Linked DNA regions of Saccharomyces cerevisiae S288C. The gene in region 2 interacts genetically with the main gene of each other region. Each region holds a gene or a part of one and is shown on either strand. Other genes may lie near its edges. The genes, in order: YCR102C, SEN54, HFL1 and HXT3.

Region 1 (7,847 bases), on a different chromosome or scaffold from region 2:
TTTCCATGGGCTTTTTGCATTTATCTCCTTTAATTAATTGTAATGGCTCTAATGATACAGTTTCGCCATTAGCTTTGTCACATATATCGGAAAGGGCAATCTGATCATAATCTGGTATACAGTCACCCTTTGCATCTCTAACAAATTCAGAAGAGCATTCGTAGTCGGATTCAGTACAACTGTCACAAGGTATTTCATGCAAAATCATATCTTTGAATGTCCTTTTTACCAAACAACGGGCGTCCTGTTTCCTCCTTTTATACATGTATTTGGCGCCATTAAGGCATTTCCCATCTGCCAAATTCCAGTCTTCGAAATCTTCCTCTTCACACGTTTTATAGTCAAAATGCAGCAGAAAAATCGATCGCATACAGGACACTTCTTGCAATATATGAGATGTTGGTGTTGTTTCCTTCTTGACTAGCCGTAGTAATGAGATGTCCGCTTAAAATAAATTTTGAGCCTGATCCATCTGGCGTTGTATTAATCAACTCTAATGGATGGATATAAAATAAAGCGTCAACAAGCTCATATTGATTCCATGTTCTACCTTGGTCCAAGGAAAAATAAAGTTTGGATTGTACATCACCATCTTTATATGAAGGAGACGGGATATATACAATAATATTTCCCAGATCACCAGTAGCATATAATCCAGAAGAATTATGGGCCACCCTCCATGTTAGACCACCGTCTCTAGAAATGAAAGTTTTTCGGTCCTTCCGATCGAATTCATTGTCATCGCCAACAGAACCTGTCATTAATATGATCCCAGCAGAAGGATTTGAAAGTTTTAGATTGTAAAAATAACCCTGAAGTGAACATCTCTCAGGCCTAGTGATATCACAGCCGAACGAATCGGCATTTTCTTCATCAACAACTTTCAAATTTGACCATGTGAGGCCGTTATCAACGGATATTTTGGTTTCTCCTCCGGCTATATTTTCAGTATAGTTTACTTGGTGATTAGAATAGTCAATGGAAGGATGAAACGATCCAAATATTGTCCCTTTCAAGAAATCAGGAAAAGTGAGCCTAAAATTTCCAAACTGATGGTTTGGTGTCCATTCAACAGGTGAGAATTTCAACCCTTGCGAATCTGATATGAAAATCTCTGAGAGATCTGGATCAGCATTTTCCTCATTTGTGATTTCTGTCGATATAAGAAGGATGATCCTTCCGATAGAATCTTCACGAATTTTAATCACTTTGACGTGCCGTAATTGAGTAGGCAGCTGTGCCTTTTGAAAAGTAGATGCATCATTGGATATCCAGATGTCCGTAGATGACATCTCGTTATGCCCGTCATCTTGCGTTAAAACGACCACATATGACTTCAATATCTTGTATTGAGTAACAATCTTATCTTTAAATTCATCAAAATCTTTAAACGTTTTGCCTCCATCACTACTGAAAGCCAACTGTGTGTAGGTAGCAGTTAAGCGATATTCTTCATCGTATTCACGGTTAGAGAACAAACAGAGTATCGAAGTATCATTACCAGTAAAGTCAGAATCCTTGCTAGACTTAATGAAATGACAGCTTTAAGTTGTTATATCGTCGTCTTTTTTCTTTTCCAAGGAAGGTTTAATTTTAAAAAAGGATTCCCATCATTGCTCAAGTAAATTTCACTTGGGTCATATAAAACGTCTGCGTCTATCATATAGCTATAGCAATTCGCAATAAGAAGTTCTTTGTTTCTAGGATGAGTAGTTATAAAACAGTCGCCATCTAAATATTCTTCTGATGAGGGTATAGTTAAAGCCCTCCATGACTCCCCACGGTCGTCGGTAATGTAGAATTTGGGTGATTCACATATAAAAGCGAAACCTCTTTCCTGTCCATGGAAAGGATCAACAGTAAATCTGAAAATGCGCTCTTCAATTTCTTTGACCGTTTCCCAATTTTCTCCAGCGTCGAAACTTATCCATACAACCCCCCAACCATCTAATCTGATAGAAGTGTTGGAATCATCAAAACTCACTAGATTAAATGATGTTTCTATAGGAGCCTCCGTTACTTTTGGGACAAATTTCTCTGCATTGAGTAGCGGAAGTAGTATAATTACCCAAAGAGTATATATGGCATGAAGTAATATCATAATTGAGGATCTCTTACCTTTTCTTAGTTCAAAGTTTTTTTTCAAAGCTCGGAACTTTATGCTACAATTCAATGACTAAAAAAAAGGTAGCGGATAATCTTTTGGTTGCAAATTGGCGGCATTTAAATATATTTTGGGTTGCAAGTATTCTAAAAATATTCTCATAATATTCTAAAAATATCCAGTCTAGGTAATTGCAATTATTTTGAGTCCGGTGACTTTGAGTTGACCATGTTCACTTCCTGTACAGCCATCAAGGTAACGTGTTTACCATCTAATGGAGAAAACCAAGAGATAAGACTAGAAACCTAGTTAGGATACTTGGATTTGCTAATGTCGCCAGTAGTACGATAATACCATAAAGATACGCTGTTGAACCTGATTTGTATATTTAAAGAATGGGAATCTTTAAGGGATCATAGTCTAGAATGGTATTCTGCAGAATAGATTTTAAATGGTGAAAACTTTCCCTCACTATGTCCAATTGATGCTTTTTAGGATGACGTTAGAATTTTATTCTGGTGAAGGCACTTTTAATATGAAGATTCGTTGAAGTATCAATAACCTTTTATTGGCATACCCTTACCTAACTGGTCTCTCTCACCTCGTGATGTTACGAACGCCACGATTATTCTCAAACTAGGTAAAGATTTTTTCTTCAAAATTAGTGGGAAAGACTCGACAGACCCGCTTACCAGGTATTCTTTCTAAACAATAGGGTTTACCAGTACCCCTGAAAATGATAATGCCCATGTGCGGCTGATCGCGTTAACTACGTATGCAGTTGAATCAAAGCCATACCACAGAAAATGGTACAAGAGCCCACTGGATAGAATAGTGCTGGCTATCAAACCAATATTTTCTTTCCAGCTCTTGGGGGACCTCTACTGCGTTATATCGTAGTTTCCATTCAGCCTGCTTATCGCCTTAGGAAAAGGGAATGTAAGAGGCAGAAAAGTGCGGCGCAATCGTTCGGACAGCGAGCCGCTATTATAGGTAAGAATTCTTAAAGAGCTTCGCCGGATATTATTACAGTGTATTAAATTTCGCCAAGTCTTTGCCAATGGAAATAGGTGCATAATTTTATGTGCTTGGTACATATGAGTTCAATAGATATGTAGTAGTTGGATAGTAGATAGTAAGGATATATAATCATGGAAGGGTGACGCACAACAAATCACATAATGAGTTATGATTTTCACTGTTCTCATCTGTTTCCCCTACAAGGCGTGATCAATAACAAACAATTTCATTAAAAAAAAAAAAACCAAGTCACTCTAACATACGTAATAACTGTGTATACAAAAGAAAAATAATATCTGTTCGTCATCTAGTTTAATACGGCAACTAGTTTTTCACCAGAGTTCTTACCGATTTTAATGTCTTCCAGGATACGAGGAACATCGTAAAGCCCGTTCTTATAGACCCTTGCTGGAATATGGTGAATTTGCCCATCACTAATCTTTGGATTGATGAACTTGACGAATTCGGTGGCAGCTCTCCTGGCTTCTGGGTCAGCAGGGAAAGTAATGCCACCAAATGGTACTTCATGGCCGCCTATTGAATACAGTCTTGTTCTGTCAATAGTGACATTTTGCCTCCTATTCTCCTTTTTGACGTTTTCTTCTGTCAAATTAGTTAATTCGACAACGGTAGCATCCTGTTTATCGGCCGCACATTTGTACACTTGTTGAAGCGTATTTTGATTCGCGACACAGTCGACTAAATACGAGATATTGTTGTACTTGTGTTTAATTTGTTCTACCACGTCAATATCATGGTAATCAAATAGTTGATCAGCACCATATTCTTTCAACAGTTTTTCGTGTTTCCGAGAAGCCACAACAATGATCTTGGTGAAGCCATTCAATTTATTGGCTAATTGGATGAGCGACTGACCTACTGCAGTTGCACCGCCCCATAATAAGATGGGGCCGTTTCTTTGTGGGGTTGATGGCTCCCACTTCAGGTTCAAGCCCAAGTTATAGGTCAACACCAAGCCAGCTGTGGTCAGTGACACTGGGATAGTGGCTGCCCCTTCCAAAGACCTGACAGGGCCGGCAGGTAGAACATCTTCACCCAAAAATTTGAGTTCATTGGGTGATTTGTAGGCAACCACAGTTGAAATAGCAGAATATTCAGCAAAAGCACCATTGGAAGGAAACCTTACGGAAGATCCGTGAATGAACCCATAAATATAATCACCAATAGAAAAGTCTTTAGGATCGACGGCTGGGCCCAATTTGACAATTTGGCCGGCAGCGTCACATCCCAGAATAGATCCTTGAGGCCCGACCTTGTAGTCAATGTGTGCCCAATCAGTCGGGTTACCAGCAACAGCGAGTGTCTTAATCAATACGAATCCTTCTTCCAATTCAGGAATGGGAACGCCCTCTTTGACAACCGCTTTACCGTCTTCAATGACGACAGCCTTCATGGTTTCTGGAATTGCAACTTGCCTGTTTGTAGGTTATATGTAATTGTCGTTGATAATCTGTATTCAGCTTGCCATTTTATAGAATATGGTTAGAAGGATCTTAAGCTAGATAAAGAAAAAGAAAAAAATAGAAAAAAGCCTGCCCGCTTTATAAGAACTTTTCTCAATATCTGTTGAGGAACACTTAGTAATATTGTCTATCATGGTTGCTTTATTCTTGGTGATATTACTCTCTGGGATTCGATGTGTTCTCATCATCTGAAGGGTTTCCTATGTGTTGAAAGCCTATCCCACTAGACGGAGCCGCGCGCCAGCCGGGCGGATCCGAGACATCTTAGTCAGCTGAGACAAGAAAGGCACAGCTCTCGGACAGGAACTGCTGTCATATGAAAACCTAAAAATGTTTCCTGGAAATTCCATGACTGCGCAAAGTTTGATACGTTTATTGTTCTTCTCTACTACCGCACTTTCTATCTCGGAAACCTTTCAACTGAATGAACTATTGTTAATTGTATGGCGTGTGGCCTTGCTATTTCAGCAAATTTAGAGTAAAGTAAACTCCGTCGGACCAGTATAGTAACGAAACAAGCCATTGATTCTGCAGCATATTGCGACCAAAACCTGGAAATTGGTGGCTATGAGTTTTAATTTATAATTATATGAAGACAAAGCTTGGAATGCTGAGTACTTTTTCTTCAATGCTGCTCACTGCCCAGAAGCGTTCAGAACAACTCTACTGGAGCCATTCTGCTTGAAGGAGGATAAAAATGCCAAGATCAAGTCTTTTAAAGACTCTATCCCTTTTCATCGGAAAAGCACTACAAGTTTATTCTACAGAAGTGGACAAACTGTGGAACTTGATCCATACTGAGTAAGTATGGAAGACTGTTAACTTGGAGGATTTTTCTCTGCTTTCTAAAGAAGGTTCACTGCTTTACACTCACCTAGGTTCTCATGAGTATTGCTAGCTAGTGCGAGTTTGATCTATACTTCACAGACTTTTAACACCCCGTTCTTTAAGTTTTCCCTGATTATCAAGCGGATTTCCAATTCTTATTCCCCACTATCGCACCTTTCTTATCTGAATTGTATTTTTGAGTGGCCTAACTGTAATCTTTTATTTTGTTTTCTAATTATTGAAGGCGGTTTCTCGAAACATTTCACGATTTCCAAAATTCAAGAATTGAAATTATGAACATAGAAGACAAAATGCCTTTTTTATCAACTATTATGAATTCTCTAGAAAGTGGTTGCAAAGGAAATAAATATGTATTTGCTGAGAGGAAAAGTTTGGAAGAACAAAAAGTATTTCTTTGATGGAGCTGATTATCAAGCATTCTTTACGGGGAGCTTTCGAAATTTTTTATATTCAAGGACATTTATGTTGTGTGGGTTATTAAACGTGGGACTTTGGAAATACATCCAAGAAGCACAATTGAGCTCTAACGATGAACCGTTACCATAAAGATAGAGACATTTCTTTTGACTTAGAAGCTACATGGAGTACCAACTATTAATACACCTCTCCTAGAGAACATTTTTAAAATAGAATAAAATAAAGTAGCGCTCTCAACTACCCTTACACTTTTTTCCTTCATATCTGGCTAGAAAAGAGGGATTACATCTCGGAATCAAAGTTTTAATACTGCTACTACGAACTGGTTACAATTCTATTTTTATCATACACGATACTTTGAACATCAACTTCTCTCAATACCATCCGCCTTCAGCGGCTACAATTACGTAATTGCACCAAGGCATTCGCCGAGAGTTTACATATTTGCAGACCCTAACAGTATACGACTCCCAACACACGTTTAATGTTGTACGAATTCAAGAGATGGAAATATTTCTTCCGCGGAAGCCGTTTAAAGCAGACTGAATTTAGGCTTAGACAATAAGCTTCTGAACGAGGGTCCAAATCTAAAATTCGGATATTCTTTTTGACCGAAAGCGGAAACTTCACAGGCGCGCGTAAAAGGGTTTTTCAAGGCACCCCGGCACCCCTATAATTGGCATTCCCACATTCTGCGCATACGAATACACATGAGTGCCATAAAACAATACTCCACATACGAAACCTATGAAAGATGTATGATTCGTTCAGAAACAAGAGCATCTCCATAGAGATAATGAGATTGTGTGAAAGATGAGATATGGAGGATATGTGAGGTGCTAAATGAGCGTCTGTTAACGAATCGTTTAAGTAGTGATGACAGATGGAGGAACGGGTATAAATAGAGCTGCTTCAACTATATGCCTTTGAGGTATGCGCTTTCATTTCACTATTTCTTGTTAAGATTACATCAGCACTAACAAACAAAACAAATACAATGGTCAAATTAACTTCAATCGCTGCTGGTGTTGCCGCCATCGCTGCCGGTATTGCCGCTGCCCCAGCCACTACCACTCTATCTCCATCTGACGAAAGGGTCAACTTGGTCGAATTGGGTGTTTACGTCTCCGATATCAGAGCTCATTTGGCTCAATACTACTTGTTTCAAGCAGCTCATCCAACTGAGACCTACCCAGTTGAGATTGCTGAAGCTGTTTTCAACTATGGTGACTTCACCACTATGTTGACTGGTATTCCAGCTGAACAAGTCACCAGAGTCATCACTGGTGTCCCATGGTACTCCACTAGATTGAGACCAGCCATCTCCAGTGCTCTATCTAAGGACGGTATCTACACTGCTATTCCAAAATAGAGACATGCCTTTACTAATGAACTTCCATAGACATTGAAAAATAACGAAAGAATAAAAAAAAAATCTTTTTTTTTTTTTGATATAAATACAGTTGACTATATAAACATATATCAATACTATAAGCCTATATTTGATCAAGACGACATTATTTAGGTGCATCAACAACGGAAAAGAAACTTTCTTCTAGGCTATCCTTCTGGGGAAGCAGTTGAAAGTGCTATCCAGTATTATTGCATATATTCTTAATGAGTAGTGCTGAAGTTTGATACGTTTGGCTCTGTTGCTTTTATTTCTCCCACGAAAATAAATTGATTTCTTTATTTTTCAGTGTGTTGGCCCGGAGTTGTTTACACACATGTCTCTTTTTGGATTAATGCTGTAGATCAGGGACTATGCGAGCGACAAGTCAGAGTAACCATATTGAATTTTCGTCTCCTGTTATACGAATATTTGCATTTCTGTGCCTACTTATGTGTGTATATGTTTTTATTAGTCAGAAAATGGAGTAAGTGTTAAAGTAAGGATAGTGTTAAGGAGGTAATAACTAAAGATTTGTAGGATAAGGCGGTGTTATTTGTTGCAATTTTCTCAGGGGTGGAGT
Region 2 (8,248 bases):
TTTTTTGAACTCACCTTCAGTCGATCTTCAGTCAGAAAACACTAGGTTTCTGGCTAATATTTGCCATGCAGAAGCTCAAGAATTGTTTGTCTTGAAATTATTAAATGATCAAATATCATCCAAGCAATATACATTAATCAGTAAACTTTCTAGAGCCACGTGTAACCTCTTTCAGAAATGTCACGATTTTATGAAAGAAATAGATGACGATGTGGCCATTTATGGTGAACCCAAATGGAAAACGACAGTTACTTGCAAACTGCATTTCTACAAATCGTTAAGCGCTTATTATCACGGTTTACACCTTGAAGAAGAAAATAGAGTTGGCGAAGCAATTGCTTTTCTCGATTTTTCTATGCAACAATTGATTTCATCCCTTCCATTCAAAACGTGGTTAGTGGAATTTATAGACTTTGATGGGTTTAAAGAAACTTTAGAAAAGAAACAAAAGGAGTTGATTAAAGATAACGATTTTATATATCATGAAAGCGTTCCAGCCGTTGTGCAGGTTGATTCCATTAAGGCGCTCGATGCAATAAAATCTCCAACATGGGAGAAGATATTAGAACCATATATGCAAGATGTTGCAAATAAATGTGACTCTTTGTACAGAGGAATTATTCCCCTAGATGTCTATGAAAAGGAAAGTATTTACTCAGAAGAAAAAGCGACGCTGTTGAGAAAGCAAGTTGAAGAAACTGAGACAGCAAATTTGGAATATTCTTCCTTCATCGAATTTACAAATCTACCCAGGCTCTTGAGTGATTTGGAAAAACAATTTAGTGACGGAAATATTTTCTCGAATACGGATACACAGGGACAATTGATGAGGGACCAAATTCAGACATGGTGTAAATTTATCCAAACAAATGAATTTAGGGATATAGAAGAACAGATGAACAAAATTGTTTTCAAAAGGAAACAAATTTTAGAAATCCTTTCTGCCTTACCCAATGATCAAAAAGAAAATGTTACAAAACTAAAATCTTCTTTAGTAGCTGCTTCAAACTCAGACGAAAAATTGTTCGCATGCGTAAAACCACATATTGTCGAGATCAATCTATTGAATGACAATGGAAAAATATGGAAGAAGTTTGACGAATTTAATCGCAATACGCCTCCACAACCTAGCCTATTGGATATCGATGATACCAAAAACGACAAGATATTAGAGTTGTTAAAACAAGTAAAGGGCCATGCGGAAGACTTAAGAACATTGAAAGAGGAACGTTCGAGAAATTTGTCTGAACTAAGAGACGAAATCAACAACGATGATATCACAAAATTATTAATTATTAATAAGGGGAAATCCGATGTTGAGCTCAAAGATTTATTCGAGGTGGAACTGGAGAAATTCGAGCCTTTGAGCACAAGAATAGAGGCGACAATTTACAAACAATCTTCAATGATAGATGACATCAAAGCCAAGCTAGATGAAATTTTTCACCTTTCAAATTTCAAGGATAAATCTTCTGGGGAAGAAAAATTTTTAGAAGATCGTAAGAATTTTTTTGATAAGCTGCAAGAAGCAGTGAAATCATTCAGTATTTTTGCATCCGACTTGCCAAAAGGAATAGAGTTCTATGATTCATTATTCAATATGAGTAGAGACTTAGCAGAAAGAGTGAGAGTTGCAAAGCAGACCGAGGATTCAACAGCTAATTCTCCCGCTCCTCCCCTCCCTCCACTTGATTCTAAAGCGTCTGTCGTTGGGGGTCCTCCATTACTGCCCCAAAAAAGTGCAGCCTTTCAGTCATTATCTAGACAAGGGCTCAATTTAGGGGACCAATTTCAAAATCTCAAAATAAGTGCCGGCAGTGATTTACCTCAAGGACCCGGTATTCCACCAAGAACTTATGAAGCTTCGCCATATGCTGCAACGCCTACTATGGCAGCCCCACCAGTACCACCGAAACAATCGCAAGAGGATATGTACGACTTGAGAAGACGTAAAGCAGTTGAAAACGAAGAACGTGAACTGCAAGAGAATCCTACGTCCTTTTACAATAGACCCTCTGTTTTTGATGAAAATATGTACTCCAAATACAGCAGTTAGGTGCATTTCTTATTTCTTAATTTTATTGTAGCTTTTTTTTTTCAACTAATATGATAATTATATATATACCGGATTTGTTGAAAGCCAGTTTTGCAAGGATAAAGAAACTGCGATTTAGCAAAAGTCCCTTTAATGCTTCTTCCATCTTTGATCTACTTTCTTTTGAGTATTAGGTGTATACCATACACTTTCAGATCCAAAATCAGCCTCGGACATTTTTACAAACGAAATAAGGCCATTATCCATAATAGCGATAATAAAGCTCCGATATCCCGTCTTCAATCTACGATTTTGCTGTATGTGAGGTGGGTACGCCTTTCTCTTCTTTTTCGTGCTAGACTGTGCAGTTTTTTTTTGAAAACTTGCTTTCATAGACGACTCACTTTTTTCAGTTTGAGATTTCGCGCTCCTCTTATGAATATATTCCTTTCGTGGGATATCTTCAACGTAGGAGTTTGTCTCCCAATCGTCATCATCCTCGATTTCGCTTAAAAATTCGAATTTATAATCAAGTGAGGAAAACATAGATCGCAGCTCTTTATAGGTAGGAAAATGCTGAAGATCGTCATTTTTATTGTAAACGAAAACTTGGAAATCAGGAAGACCGGGGTCTCTTTTCTTGAAATTAGAATGGGGTTTCCATACTTTAAATGTCAAGGGAATATCCTTTACCTTTTGAAATTCCCTATCAGATTGTGCATCCAATAGCTCTTTTTTATTCTTTGGTACAGCCACGGAACGAACAAGCCTATTTAAACCCTGGTATAACTGTGGTGAAGTCGTATATTTACGAAAAAAAAAATTCCACTTAGAATAGAAGAAACCACTAAACAGCGATAACTCTTGTATTTTAAACAATGAAAGTAATCTCCAAGTGATTGCTTGTAAATTACTTCGTTGCTTTTTCAATGGGAAAAAGGAAGTCTTGACTGCTGCTTCTTGATTGCTGGGTTTTAGAATAAAACCCAACCTTTTTAAATGAGCAAACACAAAATATTGGTCCATTTCCTGTTGCGATGAAAACAGCGAATACAAATCCTCCATACTGAGTAAAATCTCTGTTTCGTGCTTTGAGCTTTTGTTAGAGCCTGCTTCTAATCTATAATAAGGAAGAATAGTGCCTCTCTCTGCCAAATAAACAAACTCATGGAAGTCAAGCCAGAGTTCGCCTGTGCTATCAGCCCTTCCCATCGTTTGCATAAAGCTGCCTTTGGGTTTAAGTAGAACGGCTTGATGTTTATGGGGAACATAGTATCCTCTTACTTCAGATTTTACTGTTGTGCCTCTTATTGAGTCTGATATGGTATCAAACATGGCTTTACTTGCATTATAGAGAAGCAGATCTTGCAAATTAGTCCCATCTGGTTCATAGTCTTTTTCACCCCTCTTTGGAAGTGAAAGAGCAGCATTTTTGCTAACGAGCGATGCGAGTTGCGACCAATCTTGTTGTAGTTCTTCTTCTTCTTCTTCTTCTTCTTCAAAGCCCGGATTAGATGTGGTCACTTGATCAGTTTTCTTCCCAGCGAATTGCATTTAAATTGGCAGAAGAACAGAGGTTTTATGTATGTTTATATCCAAACGTTTCGATAGCTCAAATGAATAATTTTTCATACTGAGATGAAGCTCTGCAGAGTTCGACTAAACTGTTTCTAGTTTCCCTTTGGCGCAACTTAACTATGAAAAATAATAAAATAAAAAAAAAGTCCAAGCCATAATCAATAGACAGCTAATAACCTGAATTTTAACAAGAGAATATGAAAACATTATCAATACTGATTTGAATATACCCGTAAATTCTATAAGACTCCATTAATATACCGTATTATATTACAAGTTGATAATACATAAATGCGTTAAATAAAACAAAAATGACCTTGTATACGCGTCATTCCAATGCAAGAATTTGTTTATCGTAAAGTTTTGATGAAGGTGTCTAAATTATACTCCTCCTCGTATTGAGATGGGTCCCATAGCTCTTTCAATTCACCGAGGGCCTCTTTGGCTTTGCCAGTTAAACCAGTCTCGTTGGCAATATCTTCCATGCCCTTGGCTGCTTGGGAATCGCCATTATTCTTTTCCTCATTGTCCTGTGAGGTAACGTTATCGGGGTCGAAGAGATCAAGCAGCTGATGTGTATCCATGGATGCTAATCCACTGTTTTGCTGATTAACAACTGTAGAAGCTATATTCATTTTGAATTTCTGCAAACCCATGATTTTTTCTTCAAGCGTACCTTTCGTAATAATTCTGTAAACATTAACAACCTTTTTCTGACCAATTCTATGTGCTCTGTCCATTGCCTGTAGATCATTCATTGGATTCCAGTCATGCTCTACAAAAATGACGGTGTCTGCACCAGTTAAATTCAGACCCAGCCCTCCGACCTTGGTGGTCAACAGTAGGCAATCAATAGAGGGATCTTCGTTAAATTTCCGAACAACTTTTTGTCTGTCTCTTGGGTCAATGCTTCCATCTAGCCTCATATAGGTTACGGAGGGCATATACTTTTTAAACAAGTCATTTTCAACCATGTCTAGCATATCTTTTAGTTGGCAGAAAATCAGGGCTCTGTGTTGTGATATGACATTTTGAATAGGAAAATTCTGATCTTGGCTTGCTTTTTTGTCGATATCTTCTTCACCTATACCACATTCAAAGAGTAATGTTCTCAATGCGCTCAGTTTTGGAGCGTTGATAATATCGTGTAAATCTAGACCAGTTTGCTTTAAATAGTCTTGTACTTGCGCTAATTGCGGGTGATTTGGTGAAAGGACCAAAGCTGGATGATTACACAATTTTCTCATGTATTGTAAAGCTTGGAAAATATGTTGCTTGCCATCAGCAATCTCAGAATTTTCAATATCTTTCTCAACTACATTTTTTTGTTTTTTAGTAAAATCCATGTATAGTTGTTTTTGTAAATCACCTAATTCACAGTAGTAATCCTGAATAATTTTAGGTGGTAAATCAGATAGAACGTCTTCCTTCAATCTTCTCAGCATGAAAGGTAGAACTTGCTTATGTAGTGCCTCCAAAGCCAGTACACCTGCTTCCTGCTCCTTAGATGATGTTTTACTATTTCTTGACGCAGCGATTGGCTTTGCGAACCTTTCCTGGAACATCTTTTCCGTTCCCAAAAATCCCGGCATTAAGAAGTCAAACAGAGACCACAATTCTAAAACGTTGTTTTGGATGGGAGTTCCGGTTAAAATTAATCTATGGTTTGCAGTAATTTCTTTAACAGCCTTAGCAAGTTTTGATTGAGAGTTTTTAATTATATGTCCTTCATCCAAAACACAATAATTATATTCAGTTTTGTTTAGGACTGCGAGATCATTTCTAGCTACGTCATATGATGTTACAATAATATCAGCATCACTTAACTGTGGTCTCAGAGTTAATCTGACAGTTGGGCCACCGGCATACACAACAACCTTTAAAAAGGGAGCATACTGGTCAAACTCGTTTTCCCAATGGCCAGTTAAAGATGGGGGGCATATTATGAGAGATGGTAAGGCTCTACTTTCAACAGAACGCGTTTTTTCATAATCTTCCTTCCTCAAATATTGATCGCTTGCGATAATGCAGATGGTTTGTAATGTTTTACCCAAACCCATATCGTCACACAATATTCCATGTAGATGATATTTGTTCAGGAATGCCAACCAGTTAACACCATCTTGCTGATATTTTCTTAAAGTCGCCTTGATGGCAATGGGTAATTTAAATGGCTTAGCTTTAGAAGGATCCATCATTTGTTGGATAAAATCACGCTCCCTCTCTCTGCTTGCCACTAGTTCTTCTGGGAGTCCTTTTGGATCGGCGATACCAGCTTCTAAAGGAACTAATTTGATGATAGAAGCAAATGTTGTTGTAGCTAAATTCCTCACATCTTCGTTCGAATCACTCATGCGACCCAAAAGTGGAACTATTAAGAAAATGACGTAAGGTAGAACATCGGTTTCCATAGAAAGTGATAAATGATAAATAAGCTCCGTGGACCCTTGACGATCGGATAGAGAACCAGCGCTATTCATTAAAGGCAAAATCTCACGTATGGTGTAAGCCATTACCTCCACGGAGGAAATTTTAGCCAGATCAGCAAAAGTTCTTGCAGCTGAATAACGAAAAACAGATAAGTTTGATCTTAAGAACGTTAATAAAACAGGGAAACGGGTAAAAACCTCACTAGAACGTAGCGAATCAGACATAAATGGGAATAGAGCTCTTAGTACACCAAATGAGTCGACTATTTTTTGACCTTGCTCGTTGTCAACTTTACTTGCTTCCTCATTTTCATGATCAGATAATGAATCAAATAAAATCGATCTAAGCTGAGGTAGTTTCTGTAATATAGAAGGCCCAAGAACTTCAAATAGTATTTTTAACGTAATCAACCCACCCTTCCTTTTTAGTTGAGCCTCTTCCGACATCTTTGCGAGATTAATGTCATCTTGTGCGGCAATCGAATTAGATTCTTTTATTAACGTCAATATTTTTTCTTTATATTCTGCATTTACGGAGAAATCAGGAACTTCTGAAGTATCAACGCATAAAAATCCGCAGAGATTTTTGACTATCTTACCAGACACATTAACTTTATTATTTTCTAACAGTTGCTGAATCAAATGTACGACCGATTCTCCGGCCATCGTTTGTAACTTTTCATTCCTTTCTTCTTTAACACTGTCCATTAGCGACCTGATAATGGGGTTTAATTTAAGAGGTAGACCATCAAATAACAAGATGGATGATGCGTAATTAGCGAGAATGCTGCCTGTACGAAGTTTTGCGGATTCTTTGGCTGAATTGATTGCCATCAACACGCGATGCTTAGAATCTTCTAATGGCTTCTTGGCCAATAGTTTGTAAGAGTTGTTCATGGATTTGAACATTTTATCATAGTATTCGCCGTACACTTTTTCTGCTGTTTCAACACCAAACGCATGTGGACCGGCTTCTGTTTCGCCTTGAACCACAATTGCTACGTTGGGTAGTTTGTACTGAGGTAACATACCTACATCCACAAAGGTAGCCAGTAGGCTTTGACATTGAGTCCTCAGAGCTTTTAAGCTAGGTACTAGCTCCCTAAATACAGGAAATTCATCGCGATTCAGTAACTGTTTATTCATCACAGGACTGAAAATCTCTGATACAAAAGAAGGTAATTTTTCCCCTTCTGGATGCTTTTGTAACCACGAGGAGCAAAACTGTGAAACAATAATGCCTGCCAACATACGTGGAGTTGAGAATGGCAGCTCTAAACAACGAACCAGAACGTTTGTGAAGAAGGATTGAAGCGTGGAATCTTGAAACATTGACAATGTCAAAGCAAATGCCTTTGCTCCCATTATTCTAGTGTTCAATATTACGTCCAATCCTAGCAAAGTAATATCTCCAGCAATCATAGGTGCATCGATATTGATATGTTCATTATTTTTTGGTATTGGAATGTCAGAATCTGTTGTGGTTTCAGATATAGAACGTTTTTTTTCTGGATGTAATTGATAGTGCTGGGAAGGCTTTAGAATATATTGTGATTCCATGGCATAATTCTTTCCCTTTTCCCCTACTGGCGTATTTAGAAGATGTAGTATTGGCTGCAAATGTTTACTGAAAACATGATCTAAAGTTTTTTCGGTATGCTTAACTTTATAATGCTCCAATAACGCAACATAAACATCAAAAGACAGTTGCAATAGTTCCGGGTTTTGCTCCAGTAAAATATTCTGAAAAACTAGACGGAATACCTTGCCGTTTAACCAGTTTTTAGTAGAATCATCCTTTATTGATAAGAATGCAATCAGTAGATTCAAAACAGCCCTCCTCACAGAAGAAATCGAATGGCGTAAAAAGGGATACAATTTCGGTACCAGTGACTTGAATGACCACTCTGAAGGATGCTCTAAAGCCTTGTTCTTTAAAATATCTAGTACTTCTTGGTGGTCGCACAACTTTGCCAATAGATCCATTATAGAACCTACGCTTGAAGATATATCATCATCTAAACGAGCTAGTAATGACCATATCGTGGTCACCAAAATTTCTATGGTAGAGTTGTTTAATTTGACAAATTCGCTGGTTATTGGGGTTAAAATTGAGGCTGCTACGCTTTGAACGTCATCATCACTTTGGTTTAAACCATATAGCACTATACGGACAACGTTTTCTAAAAGGCCATGGGCAAATAGG
Region 3 (7,767 bases), on a different chromosome or scaffold from region 2:
CCACTGGGCTCACTAAATCCTCCTAATCTACCATCAAACTGCCATTTTTGATCCCAAACGCTGCTATTTAAAAGGAAAAATTTTCCCAATTACGCGGGTAATACAAAAAAGATATAGCCCATTGTTATAAAAATATGTATGTGTTCAATATAGTGGTATATAGGTGTTATTTGCGCTGAATGATGTACTTGTCAATGTCTGCGGGCTCATTTCCCACCAACTTGTTTTCCCAGTCGACCCAAAGCGCCTCCTTTGGATTCCAAAGTCCCCTCTGGACACACTTCTGCAGGTCCATCCCGAACGTCGGGTCTGTGTGCTTGTATTTGAGCACTGAATCCAGCTTTGGAATCTGCCTTTGCAACGAAACTGGGCCTTGCGGGCACGAAGTTCTCATGTATTGCAGCTGGTCCCACGTGGGAAAGCGGTTGGCGATTTCCACGTCGAATCGATGAGAGACGTCTCCCTTCAGCAACTGCAGGCATTTCTGCGACTTGATATTGGACGCGATGTCATTGGTAAACAACGAGATGGTACGTGGCTGTCTCTGCAATGTTTTCCAAAACGACATTTATTGCGTTTGCGTTTGCGATCTCCCGGTCTGTTATTTTCATTTGCACTTTTCTTAACGTTCTCTTTTGGTTTTATATGCCCCTTTCCAAGCTGGGTGGATACCCCGTCCATTGAGTGCCCGTGCCCAATCAAGCTAAAGCCAGACTAAAAAGAGGAAGAGTTCAAGAACCATCAATGCCTCCAGCACAATTTCACAACAGCTTGACACTTTGGCAACGGTTATATCAGAGCATAGCGACGGGATTAGAGAGATGCAAGACGACGGAAGAAAGAAGGGAGTGCCCGGCATGCGCTGAAAGCGCCCTGTAGTACAAGCGTACCGCCGTTGAATAGGCCATGGTACATCACACGATGATTGATAATTTGATGCAAGCTGCCATGCTCAGATGGTTGTTTCCCGTTTCTCTCTTTCACTTTTGATCTCCTGCGAAGAATAGGATGAGATGTGAATTTTCGTTTCTAATCCCCTCGGCCGTGCGGCTGAAAAAGAGAAATGATATTGGAATAACTAGGTTTCAGATGATGAGAAAAGAGGCTATTTTGTACTATTCACCGACGATAAGAGGCTGTAAGAACCACTCATGCCAACAGCTAAGAGGACGTCATCCAGGGCTTCGTTGGCACTGCCCTTCCAGTTACGGTTGGTGCACAAGAAATCATGGGGCCATCGGCTAAGAGACTTCATTTCCGGGTTCTTAAAATCATGCAGACCCATTGCTAAATACGTTTTCCCCAACTTCATCGTGGTGCACTATATCTACCTGATCACGCTGTCGATTATCGGGTCCATTCTGTTATATCCGTGCAAGAACACGGCGTTCATCGATGTGCTATTTCTGGCTGCTGGAGCGTCTACACAGGGCGGGCTGGCCACCAAGAGCACTAACGATTTCAACCTGTACCAGCAGATAGTGGTGTACGTCATTACATTGCTGTCCACGCCTATACTTATTCATGGGTTTTTGGCCTTTGTCAGGCTGTATTGGTTTGAAAGGTACTTCGACAACATTAGGGATATCTCCAAACAGAATTTTAAACTAAGAAGGACCATGACGTTGCAACAAAGGGAACTATCGGGCAGCAGTGGCAATGCCGCTCGAAGTAGGAGTTTCAAGGACAACCTGTTCCGTGGGAAGTTTGTTTCCAGAGAAGACCCACGACAATCCGCTTCAGATGTGCCGATGGACTCTCCTGACACGTCCGCATTGTCCTCAATCTCACCGTTGAATGTTTCCTCCTCTAAGGAGGAATCCAGTGACACGCAAAGCTCGCCTCCAAACTTCTCAAGTAAGCGCCAACCCTCAGACGTTGACCCAAGAGACATTTACAAATCGATAATGATGCTACAAAAACAACAAGAGAAGAGCAACGCAAACTCCACGGATTCTTTTTCGAGCGAGACCAATGGACCCGCTTTCATTGTGCAGGAACGTCATGAGAGAAGAGCCCCCCACTGCTCACTGAAACGCCATTCTGTCCTGCCATCTTCTCAGGAATTGAACAAGCTAGCCCAGACGAAAAGTTTCCAGAAATTGCTTGGCTTGCGGAGAGATGAAGGTGACCATGACTACTTTGACGGTGCTCCTCACAAATATATGGTCACCAAGAAGAAAAAAATATCTAGAACGCAATCATGTAACATCCCAACGTATACTGCTTCACCGAGTCCTAAAACCTCAGGCCAAGTAGTTGAAAATCATAGAAACTTGGCCAAGTCGGCGCCTTCATCTTTTGTTGATGAGGAGATGAGCTTTTCACCGCAAGAGTCTTTGAATTTACAGTTCCAAGCGCACCCGCCCAAACCAAAACGACGTGAAGGTGATATAGGCCACCCCTTCACCAGAACAATGAGCACCAACTATCTATCGTGGCAGCCAACCTTTGGCAGAAACTCCGTCTTCATTGGACTCACAAAGCAACAAAAGGAGGAACTCGGCGGTGTCGAATATCGTGCTTTGAGATTGCTGTGCTGCATTCTCATGGTATACTACATCGGATTCAACATTTTGGCGTTTGTGACCATCGTTCCATGGGCCTGTACGAGGCACCACTACTCAGAGATTATTAGACGAAATGGAGTTTCTCCAACCTGGTGGGGGTTTTTCACTGCAATGAGTGCATTCAGCAACTTGGGTCTGTCTTTGACCGCTGATTCAATGGTTTCCTTTGATACTGCGCCGTATCCGCTGATTTTCATGATGTTCTTCATCATCATAGGCAATACAGGCTTCCCAATTATGTTACGATTTATCATTTGGATCATGTTCAAGACCTCGAGAGACCTATCTCAGTTTAAGGAAAGTCTTGGGTTTCTCTTGGATCATCCGCGCAGGTGTTTTACGTTGCTGTTCCCCAGCGGCCCCACATGGTGGCTGTTTACAACTTTAGTCGTCTTAAACGCTACGGATTGGATTCTTTTCATAATTCTGGATTTCAACTCCGCTGTAGTAAGGCAGGTTGCTAAAGGTTATCGAGCTCTCATGGGCCTCTTCCAGTCTGTATGCACAAGAACTGCTGGATTCAACGTTGTTGACTTAAGTAAATTACACCCGTCCATTCAGGTGTCTTATATGCTAATGATGTACGTTTCGGTCCTGCCGCTGGCGATTTCCATTAGAAGAACGAATGTTTATGAGGAGCAATCGTTGGGACTATACGATAGTGGACAAGATGACGAAAATATCACCCACGAAGACGATATAAAGGAAACAGACCATGATGGCGAATCCGAAGAGCGAGACACTGTATCTACAAAGTCCAAGCCGAAGAAACAGTCCCCAAAATCGTTTGTTGGTGCTCATTTGAGGAGGCAACTCTCTTTTGATTTATGGTACCTATTCCTTGGATTATTTATAATATGCATATGCGAGGGCAGAAAAATCGAAGACGTTAATAAACCTGATTTCAATGTCTTTGCTATATTGTTTGAAGTTGTTAGCGCTTATGGTACAGTGGGTTTGTCATTGGGTTACCCAAACACCAACACATCACTATCTGCCCAGTTCACCGTATTATCGAAGCTAGTCATAATTGCCATGCTAATAAGAGGAAGAAATAGAGGTTTACCATACACTTTGGATCGTGCCATCATGCTGCCAAGTGACAAACTGGAACAAATTGATCGTTTACAAGATATGAAAGCTAAGGGTAAGTTGTTAGCCAAAGTTGGTGAGGATCCAATGACTACTTACGTCAAAAAGAGATCCCACAAACTGAAAAAAATAGCAACAAAGTTTTGGGGGAAGCATTAAAATCAAGTTTACCCCTCTTTACCTACATAAGAGCCAACGTAATTTTCTCTCAGTATTATATGTATTATCTCCGAAGTTTATTATTCTTTAACGAAATATAAAAGAAAAATAAGAAAGATTAAGACCCTAAAAGGTGTACCACTACGATTCAACAAGCACAACGAATCCTATCCGTAATATACTTTTGATTTCTGACTATTCTAGAAAAATTTTAGTTCATTTTTTTTCCCTCTTTTTACTTATTGTATTTTTCACAATTGAATTGCATTTTGTCCCCTACGAAAAAAGGCAGAAAACGAGATCTAAACCACTTTCAGATCAGAATAATAATAATAATAATAACCAACCAAAGCCATCAACAGGTCCACTAGAAGCATCTGCCAAGTTACGACCTAAGCAAAGGTTTGAGTGAAAAGTGAATTGCGACAGTACAATCACAAAAGTATAGAAACATAATTGTTATGGAAAACAAACTACTTTGTTGGTGGTTGTACTGGCCATGCGTGTATTCATCTATTATAGCTACCATAATATCTTTTTACACCATAACTAGACACTTATTAAATTACCGTAAACCATATGAACAAAGACTATCCATACGGATACTATTGCTCGTGCCCATTTTTAGTGTGTCATGCGCAAGTGGCATAATTAAGCCTGAAGCAGCTCAATTTTATGTCGATCCTATCAGAGAATTTTATGAAGCATTCGTTATTTACACTTTTTTCACATTTTTAACACTACTACTAGGAGGCGAGAGGAACATCATTACTGTTTTAAGCTTAAATCACGCCCCCACAAGACATCCGATACCGCTAATAGGTAAAATTTGCAAACCGATAGACTTATCTGATCCTTTTGATTTTCTTTTTGTCAAAAAAGGCATATTACAGTATGTTTGGTTCAAACCATTTTATTGTTTTGGTACATTGATATGCAGTGCATGGAAGCTACCCAAATTCGAAATATTTTTGAACGTTTTTTATAATATTTCAGTGACTTGGTCACTGTATAGTTTAGCACTATTTTGGAAGTGTCTCTATCCGGAATTAACTCCTTATAAACCATGGTTGAAATTTTTATGTGTCAAATTGATTATTTTTGCCTCTTATTGGCAGAGCATCATAATCCAGGGTCTAGTGGTTACTGGAAAGTTGGGTACGGGAAACCAAGATCGAACCTCTGGATATGTGTACAAGAATGGGCTCCTGTGTATAGAGATGGTGCCTTTCGCCATCTTGCATGCAGTAGCTTTCCCTTGGAACAAATACACAGCATTTAGCATACCTTATGGGGCCAGGATGAAATTCATTTACGCTTTGAAAGATTTTCTTGGTTGCGGTGATCTAATATGGGATTTTAAACAGACTTTGTTTGCTGGTCCCTTGTACTATAATTATAGGAACTTCGATCCTGAAGCCATGGATCTATTAAGCACTAGACAACAATCCGGTGCGACTATGGAAAGACTAAAGCATGGGCTAAGATTTACTGATAATGGAAGAAATAGTTATTGGGTGGCATATGGGAGTATAGATAACAACCTTGTTCCGGAATCAATAGAGGAATCATGGGAAGATGATATTGCTGGTCAGAGAACTTTTCCTGAGGATCCAAATTATCCGGTTGTTCACGACTACACGATGGGCCATCGATATAGTAGATCAATGAATGATTTAAGAAGAGATGTTCAAAGTAGGTCATCAATGGCTTGTTAAATGAGTCGTTAAATGTACGTATATACATAGTTACTGCGCTTTCGGTTATATACAAAATAAAACAACATCTACAAGCAATGCTTTTTTTTCAATTATTGTAACTTGGATGCTTATTCTAATAAAATGAAATAAATGCTACTGTAATTTTTTGCCGGAGGATTGGCTATATATGCAGAGTGGGAGTTGGACGATATCACCATTATTATTATTTTTCTATTATTACCATTGGACTTGTCTTTTGCAGCAACAAAAGTGGCAGCAGCAGCAACAGCACCACCACCAATGCATTTTGGCCTTGCCTTTTATAAGTTGTCAAAAAAAGTTGACCTCGAAAAGGGGAAAAAACATCAATTTTTCATTAAAAAATGCTTAGCACATTCATATGCAGTCCAAGAAATGGCAGTGGCTGGTATATTAGCCACTATCCTTGGTTTCAAACCTCGCCAAAACCCCTTCCAACCATGAACCTCCAGTATGGCTCTTGAGGCTCTACCAAAAGTGTTCGCATCCTTCATTATTTCGATGGAGACAGTTTCGCTGCCTCTAACCTGTAATACAGTCTTTATGCAATCCAACGGTGTAGTTAACGCAGCACATGTTGCACCACTTATCCCACCGCAAAGACAATGAATCAATGGATTGTAGGAATTTTGTGGGTTGAAGAATTTGCTGGCAGATTCATATATCATGAAATTGAACGCTGCAAATGGGATATTCATGGCCAATGTTGTGGGATAGGAGTAGTAAAATGCTGCAAAGCCTTCATTTTGATATATTTGCTTAGTAACATTCCAAACTCTTAGATTAGTATCCAATTGTAGTCTTTGTTTAACGGTGTCAAAGGGGTTCATCAATGCATCCGCAGCAATGGTAGCAATGGTACCACTCAGTGCGGTCTTCATTGGTTGATGAGTTTGCATATCTTCAGGGCTTATCAGGCGAGCTTTGCAAAACTCGTATGTACCAAAATATACTGCATGCGCAGGCCCTGCCCCCAGTATTACCGATTGAACACCCTTCCATAAAGCCATCGAACCTTCCATTGTAGATATTTTGGATATCTGAGATATCATCCCTGTAGAGGCAGCTTTATTCAATCCTGCAGCCTGCACTCGGGTTTTCAGAGCATCTATTGGAAACATCAAAGAATGCTCCATTATACCTGCAAATGCTCCTGCCAGTAACTGGGAATGTAGCGGAGCATGTGATGGAAGAGCTTCGTAGTCGATTTCCTCAGCTATTGACAGTTCTGAAGTATTCATAATATTAACTGATATTTCGGTTGAGTTTTTTACTTCTTCACTTTGTACTTCTCACGAAAGTCTTCGTCAATAAACCTCTGATAAAGTGAAAATTCTATGAGATTCCAATAAAACCTCCAAATATCTTTATATACAGCTTACTACTTAGATAAGATGACGTTCGCCAATGGTAGGCAAAAGATAGCAGGGTGTTCTTGCCTTTCAGTCTTCGCCATGCTCTCATTCAAGAAAGGGTGCCAAAATACCGAAAAGAGACACGATCGGGGGTGTCAAAGTAGCGATTCCTGTGGGTTAAAAGAGGGTGAACCACGGCAAACATGCATGTGTAAAACCCAAAACGCCGATCTAGGGCCTGCGACGCATGGTACGAACATCCTGAAGGTATATAAAAGAGCTAAAGTCTTGACTCATGCCTGAAATCTTGATTTTTCATTGTTATATCCTCTCTATACATTAGTAAGCACCATAGATGGGCTGGCTATCAAAAGCGAGAAAAAAAAAATGCTGAATTCCAAATATGTACTCATCGGGGTGAATTTCAATGATGTGTTATGTAGATACAATATATATGTATAAGTCACTAAATGCATACATACGAGAGTCTACCTTAAGTTTGTCCAAGTGAAAAAAACTGGGCATAGCAAAAAGACGGTTGTAGGTATACCTGCGTATATGAGAAACCTTCCGACGATTTCCACTTTGGAAACACCGCTGTACAATAAACACTCTTCTTCTTCACTTGTCTCGTTATGGAAATGAACCTTTTCGCTTCTATCATCGTGAAATCTGAGTAGTTTAATTAACAGCGTGTAGACAGCTGTCTTGCTAATGACGTCTTTCCAAACAATCACAGAAGCGACACCTACCAGAGGCCTCAAGAACACCTTAGAACCACATGATGCGTACCTACTACATACAAGGTTCCATCCGTATCTTTCGGTTAACCAGTCGCTGCAATCCAGCCCA
Region 4 (8,459 bases), on a different chromosome or scaffold from region 2:
ACAAAAGAACTCTCAGAAAAGGTTATAATACAGGTGCTGGTAGGAGTAAGTACGTTCCTGGGGCTTGGTATTTATCGGGATGAAGTGATCATATGTATTGTTCCAGGTTTAATGAAACACCAAATGTATTTAATCAAAAAGAAAACCTTCCAGACTATTTTAAATGGCTCAAATACAAAATACCGCAACTATGCACTTCGTTTTAGGGATCCATCTAATCTGCAAAGTCGGAAAATGGAAACGATCCTATTGACGCGATCCTTATGGGGTAAATTAAAAAAACCTTCACGTTAGGATACTACAGCTGAAGTAAGCGTCTCACGTAGCGCGCAGTCTATTTTTGGAAGTTAGGGGCTAATGATTTTCTACGGCTGCCGAGCATGGATGATGCCTTTATTTAGAAGCATGTAAAAAAAGCGTCTCAAAACACGGAGAAATGCACTAACAATGGGTATACTAGACTTGTTAAATTCAAATTTCGGCGAAAAGAGACTTGTATTTCATTAGTTACTTTTCGTTCAGTTAAGCATGATCGTCTAGGCGTTCCATTAACTAGTATCTTGGTTCTTTATGTAGTTTGAAGTTATCTCTGTAATTAGGCTCCTCATTTGCCAAAGTTAAGTATTGGATGTGTGTGCAGTATGCTTTCATGCCTCTATAGCAAAAATCAATGGCTCTCAAGAAATTTGTCGTAACCCACTTTAGCATATTTATTTACATTTTGTCGGAATATTATTTCTTCTCTACAGAAAAATGAAAGCAACAGAATTGAATTTCGACAAGTCACAAACAAACTTTGTAGACTTTTTATTACAAAAATTTATTAAGTGACATTCACTACTTGTATTATTGTGAGAGAAGTACATAGCACCGGGAATCTTAGACAGGGTTACTACTAACTACAACCCTCATACTGCCTTACGTAGCCAAACAAGAGCAGTTCTCAGATTACAATGGGAGATCATTTGAAAATATCAAAGATTGATCAAGAATATTTTACTGGTGGCATCCGCCCGCCCTTTAATTTCGGAATTTAGTGCTGCTTACAACTCTTCATTTTCCTCATGCGGGACGCCAGCTTTGGTGCGGGATGAAGGCAATATCCAAACCAGCATCAGGAAAAGCCTGAAGAAATGTGGTGCCTAATGCTCTTATCTAATCTGTATCCACACCTTACAGCGAAGTGTTCAATTAACTGTGCGGCTAATTCTGACACTTCATCAAAAATTACACCGGTATATCAAATGGCGGTGTAGTTTGAAAAGTACACTGTATGTCCATTAATAAAATTACGCCGAAGAACACTGACTAGCTATAAATTCTCTTCCGGCGTCCAATTTCAACCTAAGGCAAGTATTGTTAATCAATAATGCGTGTTGGTAAATATGAAGCCCGATGTTGATTAAGAAGAATTATTCGTATAAGAATTAAGCAAGCAAAATTAAGGAAAATTTTTTCTTTCCTATTCGTCATCGCAGACAGCCTTCATCTTCTCGAGATAACACCTGGAGGAGGAGCAATGAAATGAAAGGAAAAAAAAATACTTTCTTTTTCTTGAAAAAAGAAAAAAATTGTAAGATGAGCTATTCGCGGAACATTCTAGCTCGTTTGCATCTTCTTGCATTTGGTAGGTTTTCAATAGTTCGGTAATATTAACGGATACCTACTATTATCCCCTAGTAGGCTCTTTTCACGGAGAAATTCGGGAGTGTTTTTTTTCCGTGCGCATTTTCTTAGCTATATTCTTCCAGCTTCGCCTGCTGCCCGGTCATCGTTCCTGTCACGTAGTTTTTCCGGATTCGTCCGGCTCATATAATACCGCAATAAACACGGAATATCTCGTTCCGCGGATTCGGTTAAACTCTCGGTCGCGGATTATCACAGAGAAAGCTTCGTGGAGAATTTTTCCAGATTTTCCGCTTTCCCCGATGTTGGTATTTCCGGAGGTCATTATACTGACCGCCATTATAATGACTGTACAACGACCTTCTGGAGAAAGAAACAACTCAATAACGATGTGGGACATTGGGGGCCCACTCAAAAAATCTGGGGACTATATCCCCAGAGAATTTCTCCAGAAGAGAAGAAAAGTCAAAGTTTTTTTTCGCTTGGGGGTTGCATATAAATACAGGCGCTGTTTTATCTTCAGCATGAATATTCCATAATTTTACTTAATAGCTTTTCATAAATAATAGAATCACAAACAAAATTTACATCTGAGTTAAACAATCATGAATTCAACTCCAGATTTAATATCTCCACAAAAGTCAAGTGAGAATTCGAATGCTGACCTGCCTTCGAATAGCTCTCAGGTAATGAACATGCCTGAAGAAAAAGGTGTTCAAGATGATTTCCAAGCTGAGGCCGACCAAGTACTTACCAACCCAAATACAGGTAAAGGTGCATATGTCACTGTGTCTATCTGTTGTGTTATGGTTGCCTTCGGTGGTTTCGTTTTCGGTTGGGATACTGGTACCATTTCTGGTTTCGTCGCCCAAACTGATTTCTTGAGAAGATTCGGTATGAAGCATAAAGATGGTAGTTATTATTTGTCTAAGGTTAGAACTGGTTTAATTGTCTCCATTTTCAACATTGGTTGTGCCATTGGTGGTATTATTTTGGCTAAATTGGGTGATATGTACGGTCGTAAAATGGGTTTGATTGTCGTTGTTGTTATCTACATCATCGGTATTATTATTCAAATTGCATCCATCAACAAATGGTACCAATATTTCATCGGTAGAATTATTTCCGGTTTGGGTGTTGGTGGTATTGCCGTTTTATCTCCTATGTTGATTTCTGAAGTCGCTCCTAAGGAAATGAGAGGTACTTTAGTCTCCTGTTACCAACTGATGATTACCTTGGGTATTTTCTTGGGTTACTGTACCAACTTCGGTACTAAGAACTACTCCAACTCTGTGCAATGGAGAGTTCCATTAGGTTTGTGTTTTGCCTGGGCTTTGTTTATGATCGGTGGTATGACTTTCGTTCCAGAATCCCCACGTTATTTGGTTGAAGCTGGTCAAATTGACGAAGCAAGAGCATCTCTTTCCAAAGTTAACAAGGTTGCCCCAGACCATCCATTCATTCAACAAGAGTTGGAAGTTATTGAAGCTAGTGTTGAAGAAGCTAGAGCTGCTGGTTCAGCATCATGGGGTGAGTTGTTCACTGGTAAGCCGGCCATGTTTAAGCGTACTATGATGGGTATCATGATCCAATCTCTACAACAATTGACTGGTGATAACTATTTCTTCTACTATGGTACTACCGTTTTTAACGCTGTTGGTATGAGTGATTCTTTCGAAACTTCTATTGTTTTCGGTGTCGTCAACTTCTTCTCTACTTGTTGTTCTTTGTACACTGTCGATCGTTTTGGACGTCGTAACTGTTTGTTATATGGTGCCATTGGTATGGTCTGCTGTTATGTAGTTTACGCTTCTGTTGGTGTCACCAGACTATGGCCAAATGGTGAAGGTAATGGTTCATCCAAGGGTGCTGGTAACTGTATGATTGTCTTTGCCTGTTTCTATATTTTCTGTTTTGCTACCACTTGGGCTCCAATTGCTTATGTTGTTATTTCTGAAACTTTCCCATTGAGAGTCAAGTCTAAGGCTATGTCTATTGCTACAGCTGCTAATTGGTTGTGGGGTTTCTTGATTGGTTTCTTCACTCCATTTATTACTGGTGCTATTAACTTCTACTACGGTTACGTTTTCATGGGCTGTATGGTTTTCGCCTACTTCTACGTTTTCTTCTTTGTGCCAGAAACTAAGGGTTTGACTTTGGAAGAAGTCAATGATATGTACGCTGAAGGTGTTCTACCATGGAAGTCTGCTTCATGGGTTCCAACATCTCAAAGAGGTGCTAACTACGATGCTGATGCATTGATGCATGATGACCAGCCATTCTACAAGAAAATGTTCGGCAAGAAATAATTTCACGCTAAACCGTAGTGCTGAATAATAGTGTATTTTAAGATTCGATGTGCTAGTCAATAATGATAAATAATACACAAGATTTATGACTTTATATATATAATTCTCTGATACAGTTAATAAAAGACATTGGTACATGATATCAAACAGAATTTTAACATTTCTTGATCCAGTTTGTAAACAAAACAAACAATTTTTCTACCATTTAACTTCATACCATCGGCGAGAGCCGAACAGGAAAAAAAAGAAGTCTCCGGTTATCGTAAGCAGTATCAAATAATAAGAATGTATGTGTGTGCAATTTGTTATACCCACGAAGAAGTGCGCAGTAGAGTTAGAAAACCAACTGAGTAATCTTTACTCCCGACAATCGTCCAATAATCCTCTTGTTGCTAGGAACGTGATGATGGATTTCGTTTGAAATCCGGACGGAAAACTCAAAAGAAGTCCAACCACCAACCATTTTCGAGCCTCAAGAATCTCTAAGCAGGTTTCTTTACTAAGGGGATGGCCTTTCTGTCCTGGACATTTTTTCCTTCCTTTTTTCATTTCCTTGAAAGGAACAGATTTTTTTTGACTTTTGCCACACAGCTGCACTATCTCAACCCCTTTTACATTTTAAGTTTTCGGGTTGAATGGCATCAAATTTGGGAAAATTTAGCTTACTCAGACACCAACACATTTTTTCATGAGTATTGTTGGAAAATCTTTCCATGCTTATCAGCCGGAATACGGAACAACGGCTGCTGTGATGCCGCAAAGGGGCAAGGAAAAAATAAGCAACACACACCGAAACAGGAGGAAGAAATTCCGAACACAAGCCTAAGAAGACACCGCAGTTGTTGCAACATGTTCACATGTTCATCCCCCTGCTACTACTTGGAAATTAATGTAGGGGTAATTGGAGTGCGCCGGCCCGTGCTTTCAGAGGAACAAAGGAAGAATTGTTAAAAAAAGGCAGTGACAACGAGCACGGGTGCACCATATGGTGTGATAAGCAACCTAGGACAAAAAGAAGTGCGCAGTTCCTGTGTGCGGCGCCAAGACAAATGTTTCATATGCTTCTCCAAGGGGCTACGCTACCTAGCCTCACCACCCGATCTCTTTTTTTCCTGAACGCAGAGGGGACCGTACGAAAAAAAATGTTTTTTAGGCAACGGAGATTCGTTTTATCCACGTTTACCCCACAAAAAGTGCAGGTACATTGTGGGGCCCCGGCATCGAAAACCAGTTTTTTTCCTTTAAACGCTGGAAAAAAAGGAGAAATTATTGGAACTTTGCAGAGAATAGTCCGTAGGCAAATTGAAAATGTTCCTTAAAAAATTTCGTTTCTTACTCATTGAGATTATTCAGATGCCCTCCGTGCCTTCATTGAAAAAAATCCAAGAGATGTCTCGGATCTGTATGCAGATTTTGGCTTGCAGACAATGGAGAGCAAATGGGTATACAATATAGAAAGCACAGAAACATATAAAAAGAGCTCGAGAAAAGACATATGGTTTGTAACTATCTTCTTCTTTTTTCCAATTTTTCTGTTTTAATAATAAAAAAACAAGAACAAACAAGCTCAACTTGTCTTTTCTAAGAACAAAGAATAAACACAAAAACAAAAAGTTTTTTTAATTTTAATCAAAAAATGTCACAAGACGCTGCTATTGCAGAGCAAACTCCTGTGGAGCATCTCTCTGCTGTTGACTCAGCCTCCCACTCGGTTTTATCTACACCATCAAACAAGGCTGAAAGAGATGAAATAAAAGCTTATGGTGAAGGTGAAGAGCACGAACCTGTCGTTGAAATTCCAAAGAGACCAGCTTCTGCCTATGTCACTGTCTCTATTATGTGTATCATGATCGCCTTTGGTGGTTTCGTTTTCGGTTGGGATACTGGTACCATTTCTGGTTTCATCAATCAAACCGATTTCATCAGAAGATTTGGTATGAAGCATAAAGATGGTACTAATTATTTGTCTAAGGTTAGAACTGGTTTGATTGTCTCCATTTTCAACATTGGTTGTGCCATTGGTGGTATTATTCTTTCCAAATTGGGTGATATGTACGGTCGTAAGGTGGGTTTGATTGTCGTTGTTGTCATCTACATCATCGGTATTATTATTCAAATTGCATCTATCAACAAATGGTACCAATATTTCATCGGTAGAATTATTTCCGGTTTGGGTGTTGGTGGTATTGCCGTTTTATCTCCTATGTTGATTTCTGAAGTATCCCCAAAGCATTTAAGGGGTACTTTAGTCTCTTGCTACCAATTGATGATTACTGCCGGTATTTTCTTGGGTTACTGTACCAACTTCGGTACTAAGAACTACTCCAACTCTGTGCAATGGAGAGTTCCATTAGGTTTGTGTTTTGCCTGGGCTTTGTTTATGATTGGTGGTATGACATTTGTTCCAGAGTCTCCACGTTATTTGGCTGAAGTCGGTAAGATCGAAGAAGCCAAACGTTCTATTGCCGTTTCTAACAAGGTTGCTGTTGATGATCCATCTGTTTTGGCTGAAGTCGAAGCTGTCTTGGCTGGTGTAGAGGCAGAGAAATTAGCTGGTAATGCATCCTGGGGTGAATTGTTTAGTAGCAAGACAAAGGTCCTTCAGCGTTTGATCATGGGTGCTATGATTCAATCTCTACAACAATTGACAGGTGATAACTATTTCTTCTACTATGGTACTACTATTTTCAAGGCTGTTGGTTTGAGTGACTCTTTCGAAACCTCTATTGTCTTGGGTATTGTTAACTTTGCTTCCACCTTTGTTGGTATTTACGTTGTTGAGAGATATGGTCGTCGTACTTGTTTGCTATGGGGTGCTGCATCCATGACTGCTTGTATGGTTGTCTATGCTTCCGTGGGTGTCACCAGATTATGGCCAAATGGTCAAGACCAACCATCTTCCAAGGGTGCTGGTAACTGTATGATTGTCTTTGCCTGTTTCTATATTTTCTGTTTTGCTACTACATGGGCTCCAATTCCTTATGTCGTTGTTTCTGAAACTTTCCCATTGAGAGTCAAGTCTAAGGCTATGTCTATTGCTACAGCTGCTAATTGGTTGTGGGGTTTCTTGATTGGTTTCTTCACTCCATTTATTACTGGTGCTATTAACTTCTACTACGGTTACGTTTTCATGGGCTGTTTGGTCTTCATGTTCTTCTATGTTTTGTTAGTTGTTCCAGAAACTAAGGGTTTGACTTTGGAAGAAGTCAACACCATGTGGGAAGAAGGTGTTCTACCATGGAAGTCTGCCTCATGGGTTCCACCATCTAGAAGAGGTGCCAACTACGACGCTGAAGAAATGGCTCACGATGATAAGCCATTGTACAAGAGAATGTTCAGCACCAAATAATTTGCGAACATTTTTATTAATTCATGATCACGCTCTAATTTGTGCATTTGAAATGCACTCTAATTCTGATTTTATATTTTTAATGAACCCTTACGATTTATATTGTATGGCAAGATGTTGCCAATAGAAGTATAATTTTTTATTAATTTTTTTTCTTTTCTAAGCTTTGAAGAAAAGTTAACAGCTTTACCCTTCAAAGTTATTGTTTTGTAGCGCTAGAAGCGAAGTAGGCGCTCTTTCTCGCATAAGCTACCTTAGGAGGAAAAAAAAAGTCTTCTATTATAAACAAAGTACTCTATAATTCATCAAAAAAATTAATTATGAGCCGGAGCTTTTCACAATCAGTGTACATATGCAGGGCTCACCTCGGTACTGCGCTTTTCTACCTGAAATTAAATAGAGTCACCTCATTACAATGAAGCTACTAAACTCCTCAATGTTAAACTGGCATTGCGACAGAGTAGAGAAGGCTTGTCAATAAACCTGAATTTTTGGTAATAAAAAGAAAATGGGGATCATATTAGGCCTTTATGATCATCCTTGGCAAACTACATCCCATATATGTTTGAAAAAGGGTTAATGATATGAAAATGTTTTTATTTAATAAGAAATGATGTACTACTGGCGGCGATTGGTAAAGAGGATCTAAGTTTTCTTTCCTGGCAGATGATAAACAGTTAGCATTCCCCAAAAAAAATAATTTCACCTTGTTAAAAAGGTAATTTGCGAGAAAACATGAACAGTCTGCCCCTTAATGAACAGTTTTTGGCCAAAGTCCTATTCGAATATATTTTAGTGGAAGAAAATCTTGTAGGCTGTAAACTTATTGATAGGCCCATTTGGTACTATTATATGTTATTTCAGCAACAATTTATGGAAAGGTTGCCGTAAGTAACCTTTAGATGGCAGGAAGGAAAAAAATCATGCTTTAAGAGTGGCTTCAGTAGCTAAAAAGGTAGTATACATCGCACAGTGAATATTCGCCCCAATGGACGGAAAAGTTCATGCAAGATTAAACGCAGTACCAGAAAGCCGCGTTTGTATGGTTTTATTGGCGTCCATACAAATAACTTATTAGCGGGGTGACAATTCAGAGACAATTCTAATGTCGAAAAGTGTACCATCACTAAAGTATTCCAGGGACTTCTGCCCACCACGTAGAAACGCGTTGTTGA

The links.
Region 1: mutations in SEN54 (region 2) and YCR102C together harm fitness more than expected from each alone (negative genetic interaction), as found in Saccharomyces cerevisiae (one large-scale study listed by BioGRID).
Region 3: mutations in SEN54 (region 2) and HFL1 together harm fitness more than expected from each alone (negative genetic interaction), as found in Saccharomyces cerevisiae (one large-scale study listed by BioGRID).
Region 4: mutations in SEN54 (region 2) and HXT3 together harm fitness more than expected from each alone (negative genetic interaction), as found in Saccharomyces cerevisiae (one large-scale study listed by BioGRID).

The regions. Positions count from the first base shown.
Region 1 is NC_001135.5:300,930-308,776, forward strand, and holds YCR102C (uncharacterized protein), read right to left. Parts: upstream 4,539-7,847; coding exon 3,432-4,538; downstream 1-3,431. Other genes in the region: YCR099C (uncharacterized protein), read right to left, coding at 1-370; EMA35 (Ema35p), read right to left, coding at 342-1,292; YCR101C (uncharacterized protein), read right to left, coding at 1,553-2,101; seripauperin PAU3, read left to right, coding at 6,872-7,246.
Region 2 is NC_001148.4:394,517-402,764, forward strand, and holds SEN54 (tRNA splicing endonuclease subunit SEN54), read right to left. Parts: upstream 3,590-8,248; coding exon 2,186-3,589; downstream 1-2,185. Other genes in the region: BRO1 (Bro1p), read left to right, coding at 1-2,056; MOT1 (DNA-binding ATPase), read right to left, coding at 3,964-8,248. UniProt on the Saccharomyces cerevisiae protein: Non-catalytic subunit of the tRNA-splicing endonuclease complex, a complex responsible for identification and cleavage of the splice sites in pre-tRNA. It cleaves pre-tRNA at the 5' and 3' splice sites to release the intron.
Region 3 is NC_001143.9:526,664-534,430, forward strand, and holds HFL1 (Hfl1p), read left to right. Parts: upstream 1-4,282; coding exon 4,283-5,539; downstream 5,540-7,767. Other genes in the region: FMP46 (putative redox protein), read right to left, coding at 167-568; TRK2 (Trk2p), read left to right, coding at 1,152-3,821; MRS4 (Fe(2+) transporter), read right to left, coding at 5,887-6,801; sphinganine kinase YSR3, read right to left, coding at 7,404-7,767. UniProt on the Saccharomyces cerevisiae protein: Vacuole membrane protein that recruits ATG8 to facilitate the degradation of vacuolar integral membrane proteins during early-stationary vacuole turnover (EVT) when cells enter stationary phase.
Region 4 is NC_001136.10:1,158,433-1,166,891, reverse strand, and holds HXT3 (hexose transporter HXT3), read left to right. Parts: upstream 1-2,231; coding exon 2,232-3,935; downstream 3,936-8,459. Other genes in the region: YDR344C (uncharacterized protein), read left to right, coding at 4,443-4,886; hexose transporter HXT6, read left to right, coding at 5,572-7,284. UniProt on the Saccharomyces cerevisiae protein: Low-affinity glucose transporter.